2 linked regions of the Rattus norvegicus genome follow. Each later gene encodes a partner of the first gene's protein in a complex. Links are inferred from orthologs where the notes say so. Each region holds a gene or a part of one and is shown in the gene's direction. Other genes may lie near its edges.

What was found.
Region 2: the proteins of Paxip1 (region 1) and H2ax are in contact, whole or in part, in a crystal structure (PDB 3SQD), measured with the Homo sapiens proteins. The link is inferred for Rattus norvegicus from reciprocal best matches to the Homo sapiens genes PAXIP1 and H2AX. Residues at the interface, in NP_031375.3 of Homo sapiens: Phe871, Thr872, Gly873, Phe874, Pro876, Lys907, Thr909, Arg910, Thr911, Val912, Lys913, Pro986, Glu1050, Leu1053; in NP_002096.1 of Homo sapiens: Gln138, Ser140, Gln141, Glu142, Tyr143.

What each region holds. Positions count from the first base shown.
Region 1 is NC_086022.1:8,307,393-8,311,208, forward strand, and holds the end of Paxip1 (PAX-interacting protein 1), read left to right. Parts: intron 1-35; coding exon 36-170; intron 171-255; coding exon 256-331; intron 332-411; coding exon 412-472; coding exon of another isoform or gene 473-536; exon of another isoform or gene 537-2,663; coding exon of another isoform or gene 2,664-2,664; coding exon 2,665-2,680; 3' UTR 2,681-3,098; downstream 3,099-3,816.
Region 2 is NC_086026.1:53,567,496-53,570,633, forward strand, and holds H2ax (H2A.X variant histone), read left to right. Parts: upstream 1-1,222; 5' UTR 1,223-1,290; coding exon 1,291-1,722; 3' UTR 1,723-2,577; downstream 2,578-3,138. UniProt on the Homo sapiens protein: Variant histone H2A which replaces conventional H2A in a subset of nucleosomes. Nucleosomes wrap and compact DNA into chromatin, limiting DNA accessibility to the cellular machineries which require DNA as a template.

The sequences.
Region 1 (3,816 bases):
AAACATTTAAAAGACCTGTTTCTGTTTCCTTGTAGACAAAGTATTTTTACATCACCCCTGGCATCTGCCCAAGCCTTGCCACTATGAAGGCAATTGTGGAGTGTGCAGGGGGGAAGGTGTTAGCCAAGCAGCCGTCCTTTCGGAAGCTCATGGAGCACAAGCAGAATAAGGTGAGAGAGCAGAGCTCCAGGAAGCCAGGGCTGTTCTACGTGGGTGCTTCTCTCCCTCACTCATGAGCTCCCTCTCTCTTCCTAGAGTCTGTCGGAGATAATTTTAATATCCTGTGAGAATGACCTGCACTTATGTCGAGAGTACTTTGCCAGGGGGATAGGTAGGTATGGCTCCCTGCACCTACACTGACCCGAGTGTCCTCAGTGGCCTTTCCTAACAGTTTTGGTTTGTCCCCTGCAGATGTTCACAATGCGGAGTTTGTTCTGACTGGAGTGCTCACACAGACACTGGACTACGAATCATATCCTTTACAAGGGCAGGGTGCACAGGGGACGGGGGAAGCTGGAGACACATTTGCAAGCTGAAAACAGACATGATGGTTCTGGTCTGCAGACCTTTCTCTTGCTGTTATAGGTGACCACCTAAGGACCTGTTTGGCTTATGTAGATGTTGAAGGATTTGACCATTTGACTCCATAGAAACTAATGGGAGTCCATGGCTGGGGCTGTTCTACACTCCGCAGTCATGAGTTAGGAAGTGACACAGCTTGATAGGCATTGTAGTTAAGGCACAGGTGTGCTGGGTATGGCATTGTAGTTAAGGCACAGGTGTGCAGGGTATGGCATTGTAGTTAAGGCACAGGTGTGCTGGGCACGGCATTGTAGTTAAGGCACAGGTGTGCTGGGTATGGCATTGTAGTTAAGGCACAGGTGTGCTGGGCACGGCATTGTAGTTAAGGCACAGGTGTGCTGGGCACGGCATTGTAGTTAAGGCACAGGTGTGCTGGGTATGGCATTGTAGTTAAGGCACAGGTGTGCTGGGCCCAGCATTGTAGTTAAGGCACAGGTGTGCTGGGTATGGCAATGTAGTTAAGGCACAGGTGTGCTGGGCCCAGCATTGTAGTTAAGCCACAGGTGTGCTGGGCCCAGCATTGTAGTTAAGGCACAGGTATGCTGGGTATGGCATTGTAGTTAAGGCACAGGTGTTCTGTGCTGGGCACAGCATTATAGTTAAGGCACAGTTGTGCTGGGTATGGCAATGTAGTTAAGGCACAGGTGTGCTGGGCCCAGCATTGTAGTTAAGCCACAGGTGTGCTGGGCCCAGCATTGTAGTTAAGGCACAGGTATGCTGGGTATGGCATTGTAGTTAAGGCACAGGTGTTCGTGTGCTGGGCACAGCATTATAGTTAAGGCACAGTTGTGCTGGGCCCGGCATTGTAGTTAAGGCACAGGTGTGCTGGGCACGGCATTGTAGTTAAGGCACAGGTGTTCTGTGCTGGGCACAGCATTATAGTTAAGGCACAGTTGTGCTGGGCCCGGCATTGTAGTTAAGGCACAGGTGTGCTGGGCACGGCACAGGTGTGCTGTGTACCTGTTGGACAGCTAAGGCTCGGGCTCCCAGGAAAGAAGTTTGCCAGTTTACAGTTCCTCTCAGAAAATCTCAGGCATTAGTTTTAGAATGACACAGATTCTAGAAAGGAGGTTTTACTTTATTACACAACTGGCCTGGCACCCTGTGGCCCAGGCTGGCTTCACAGGAATCCTCTTGCTTTCACCTTGAGTGCCAGGATTGCAGGCATGAGCCACCGTGCCCAGCTGGGGTGGTTACTTTAATGTGTGAACAGCCCCCAGGTCAGAGTGATATTGTCCCTGGCCCTTCATCTGTGTGGTCTTACCCAGCTGAGTGCATTTACCAAACACTTCCTCTTAGCACCGAGAACTCAGTAAATTGAGCTAGAAGACCCAACTTTGTGGCCAGTAGGAGTGTCTGGCAGGGACCCTCCTCGAAGCAGACTGAGCTGGGGAGCGACAGGAGGCTGGTGTGCTGTAACATCTGGTCTTTACGCAGCACGTTCTGTGGGATCTTTCCCAGACTTCTCCTTGCACTGCTTACACTCAGAACATCTGACCCACGCTTTTCCCATTGGTAGGGCTGCTTTTCCGGTTTCATCGGTCAGCTGAAGGCCCATCCCCACTCCTGTAGCCCAGTGGTTCCCAACCTGTAGGTCTCAACTCCTTTGGGGTCAAATGAACTTTTCACAGGAGTTGCATGTCAGATACTTACATTACAATTCATAACAGTAGTAAAGTTACAGTTATGAAGTAGCAATGAAAACACTTTTATGGTTGGCGCTCACCACAGCCGGAGGTATTAAAGGATTGCAGCGTTAAAGTGTTGAGCACCACTGCTGCCCTCAGTGTTGCCCTCATAAGACACTTAGATTACAGTTCTCTTAAGGACATGTTTTTGTGGTGGCTTTGGGGATAAGAAACCAGGAATGTGCCTTGGATTAGGCTTTAGCTATGACCTAAGAAGGGTGCCTTCACCCATGTGTCCAGTAGAGAGCCTGTGCCTTGGGTGTCGGAGTTTGCAGCAGGACAAGGTAACTTGGATGCAGGAAGAGGTGATCTCTAGAACTCTCTTCCAACGGGGCTCTGCTTAATGTGACCCCACTGCCTTGTGTGTAAAAACCATTTTCCTCAACAAGGCCACATATAAATTTAACTGATGGCCTCTTGGTGCTGCTAGCCTGGAGCCTGGAGCACAAGGGCAGCTGCTGGCAGCGCAAACCAGGACTCCCTCCCTGCAGAGGGCTTGTTTTCCAGCTCTGCCTTAGGGAGACATGAAATACTAACTGCATCGTGTTAAGATGTGTGACCTTATTCTAGGAAACATAAATTATGTTTGTATTATATGCCTAAGAGCCCACATTAAGTCTTCTGATTAATTTGCCAGGTTTTTAATGTGTTTTCAGAAAGCTGTATGAAATTTCATCTACAAATAAAAATGATGTAAATAAAGACTTTGCTGTCTAAATTATGGATGTTAAAGATATGAGATGTTTTGTACTTTGATTATTTTTATTTCTTACTTTTCTTTTATATTGATAACTTGCTCACATTTAAATAAATGTACTTTTGAACTTAGTAGAATTGAGTGATTATTTAAATTTCCTATTCTTTGCATAACATAAATAATTTTCAACAAACTGAGAAATTCCACAGCAGAATAATTTTGAAGTAACTCTTCTCCTGGAGAAATAAGTTTTGATGTTATTTCTTCATAAGCAGTCACCCTTACTTACCCAGCCTGGGCAGAGCCCCCAAAGCACAGTCTCCGTGTCCTCCACCCACGTGTCTCCCAGCCAGCCCTGATCTCTGGGGACTTCCCATTGGACTGTTTTGTATAGTTCTTATCTGCACACACATTCTTCTGTTAAACTGAGACGTTCCTAGTGGCCAGAGAGCTGCACCGGCAGGCGGAGTGTCCGTCTGAGCAACCTGAGACACTCCCTGCAGAGCTGGCCTTCATCTGCTGGAAGTTGTCACTATGAAATAGCCAGCTCCGAGTGTGGAAATTGGTGGGAATCGGGGTGAGCAGAAGAGCTCTATGTACGTGCACAGCGGGTTTGCCAGCACGCCATGTGCTGTGTCCCAGACCCTGGAAGAAGGTGGATGTAAGTTCAACAGCATCTCTGGAATGTCAGACATCTGTCACCTGGCAGGGGACAAGATGTTTCTTTAACAGAAGTATGACCAGTTTGATTAACCTTTCAATTGGCATCTTTTGAAAGTTGCCAAGGAATATGACTCGAGGAGCTGTCCAGAGCCCCAGGCTCACACAGCTGCTGAGCCTGAGGTTGGC
Region 2 (3,138 bases), on another chromosome or scaffold:
TTAGGGCAACATACTCCAAGGTAACCTCACATCTGACTATCAAATTAAGTGTTCTGATTAGGAAGAGCAGAGGCAGGGCCATGTGCTCAGAATGGTGACAATAAAGGATTGCCTTTTACTTGTTCCTCTAGGTGTAGCCACTCCTTCCTCCTTTCTTTTTAACCTTTGAGGTTCTTATTGAACCCTAGGGCATCCTTATACTTAAATGCTCTACCACTGAACTATATCCCAAGCTCGACATATTTATTTTTTTATATAGGCATTTTAGAATAGATTGAAAGGATTAGAGTGGGTACCTTTTCCAATAGGATCCCTACCCCTGCTCCCCTCAGACCCTTTCTTGTAAGAGAGGTCTGTCACATACTGAGACCAGACAGAACATATCAAATAAATATTACAGCACAAACTTGTGATAGCATAATGGATAACGGTGCTCCGTTTTCTGGCACAGGATTAAACTCTCAGAAGGTTTCATTTCTTTCATTTTAAACCCTCCCTTTTCAGCCAAGCCTTTAATCCCAGCACAAGGGAGGCAGAGGCAGGCGGATCTCTGAGTTCCGGGGCACCAAGGGCTAATCAGAGAAACCCTGTCTCATTAAAATAAAAGCCAGATGGTGGTGGTGCACGCCTTTAATCCCAGCGCTTGGGAAGCTGAGGCAGGCAGATCTCAGAATTCGCAGCCAGCCTGGTCTACAGAGAGATCCAGGACATCCAGAGTTACACAGAAAAACCCTGTCTCGAAAACCCAAAAATAATAATAAAGAACAAGCAAATAAATAAACCCTTCCCTTTGCCAGATTAGAGGAGGGAGTAGGAAGTGCCCTAACCTGGAAGGAGAAAGGTGCTTACAGTGAAGACCCTTTTCCTTTAAAACCACAGGCCGGCTCAGATTTCCCAGAAACCATAGAGGTAGCTCCAAGCTCCACCCTTCTAGTCTTCGGGTTTGTGGGCGCGCCGTAGCGTTTAAATTTCGCGCGCTCTATACTGATTGGCCATTTCCAAGGGTGATTCGCCTCTGGCTTGCAGCCACTCCGCCTTGTCTTCTTCCCCGGGTAAAAGGTTTTCAAATTGGACCAATCGCTGAGCGCGTTCTCTCGGCTATGGCGCGTCACCGAAGGGTTAATTGCAACCAACCAGAGGTGGGTATTAAAAAAAGAACCAATTAGGCGGAAGCGGGGGCGTGTCCAGAGAGTTTATAAGGGCGAGCTTGCCCGCGCGAGGCGACAGTTGACTGCGGCGGTTGGCGGTTTGTCTCCTGGCGTTTTTCTCAGCCCTTCTACCTCGCACACGATGTCGGGTCGCGGCAAGACCGGCGGCAAGGCCCGCGCCAAAGCCAAGTCGCGCTCTTCGCGCGCCGGCCTTCAGTTCCCGGTAGGCCGCGTGCACCGACTGCTGCGGAAAGGCCATTACGCCGAGCGCGTGGGCGCAGGCGCGCCCGTGTACCTGGCGGCGGTGCTCGAGTACCTCACTGCCGAGATCCTGGAGCTGGCGGGCAACGCGGCTCGGGACAACAAGAAGACGCGCATTATCCCGCGCCACCTGCAGCTGGCTATCCGCAACGACGAGGAGCTCAACAAGCTGCTGGGCGGCGTGACTATCGCGCAGGGCGGCGTCCTGCCCAACATCCAGGCCGTGCTGCTGCCCAAGAAGACCAGCGCCACCGTGGGGCCCAAGGCGCCGGCGGGCGGCAAGAAGGCCTCCCAGGCCTCTCAGGAGTACTGAGGGAGCCCGCGCCGCGGCTGCCCAGCCCTCCCCCACCTCCACAAAGGCCCTTTTAAGGGCCACCACCTCCCTCACAGAAAGAGCTGAGCCACTTCGGGCTCCGGCCCGCCGCGTCCCCATCCCATTCTCTCCTCTCAGTCCTCGCGTCTTTACCCTTCCCTGTGCGGCCTCCGGGTCTGCCACAGGACGCGGGCGCCGGGGCACCTACCCATCCCGGAGCTCGTGACATCGCTTCGCCGTTCTCAGTCGTCGACGGGCTGTGCGGAGAGGTTGCGGCACCTTCCACCTTCCAGAAATCTCGGCCCTTTGCTATGACGTACGGCCGAGGTGGGCTTGAAGGTTAGTTAACCACCACCACCACCCCCCCCCCCCGCAGCTACAACCCCAGCGTTTTCAGCTTGGTGCTTAGCCCTCTCCTGGACCTTTCAGAAGTGAGTTGATTGCCGGACTTTGGTGAGAAGCGGATCATACTGTTTCACTCTGTGTCCCCCTTACTGGCCTCTCAAACCAGTTGACCCTGTCGTCATTTGTAGGCCGGCATGTTATAACGTGAAGCCAATTTTTCCAAGATAAACTGGAAAGGGTCAGGGAACGCCTATTGGCCTGTGGACAGAAGAATTGTATACCTGCCGCAGAAGACTAGAGGAGCCGGGCCTAGCTATCCCTCTCCCTTAACTCAAACTACAACCCAAACACCCAGATACCAGCACAAGTCGGTGAATCCCTGTCTGGACTGAGCCTCTGGCTTCTGAACTGGAACTTTTGCAGCTATTACAAGTTTAGAACCTTAAGAAGTGGGGAGATTCAATGGGCTAATTTTATTAAAGGATCGTTTTTGGTTTGTTTTTTTTTTTTAAACGGAGTGTCTGATTTAATTTTGAATGCCTAACTTAACTTTGAATGCTGTAGTCCCAGGGCTGGACATTTACAGCTCCATAGTCGAGGAGCCATGTGCCCAGAACATCTCGTGGGAGGGAGTGGGACTAGAGGATAAACTTACCTTCCTTTCTGCAGGCACTGGGAATGAAAGGCTATGTGAAGATCCTGTTAACTAAAGACAGGCAGGCTGTAGGGATGAAGGCTAGTTTCTTTGCTTGGTTGAGAATGATCAGGATGTTTTACAACAGAAAGGTCCCAGACTCAGAATTCAGGTTTAAAAGGGCTTTGGGTTTATTCATATCTTCCCCCAACTCCAGGAGAACCACATTCTGAACTGATTAGTGGCATTGGTTACATTAAAAGATTGGCATGGACTTTCTCTAAAGAGATGAAGCCCACAAACTACTGAGGGAAAGGCAGTCATGGAGGCCCCAAGTTGAGGCATATCTTCCAAGGCCGAAGTCTCAACAACTCTGGTTCAATCTCCTGGGATAATCATTCCCCTTGTTAAGGAGCACAGGGCACTTGACAGCCAGA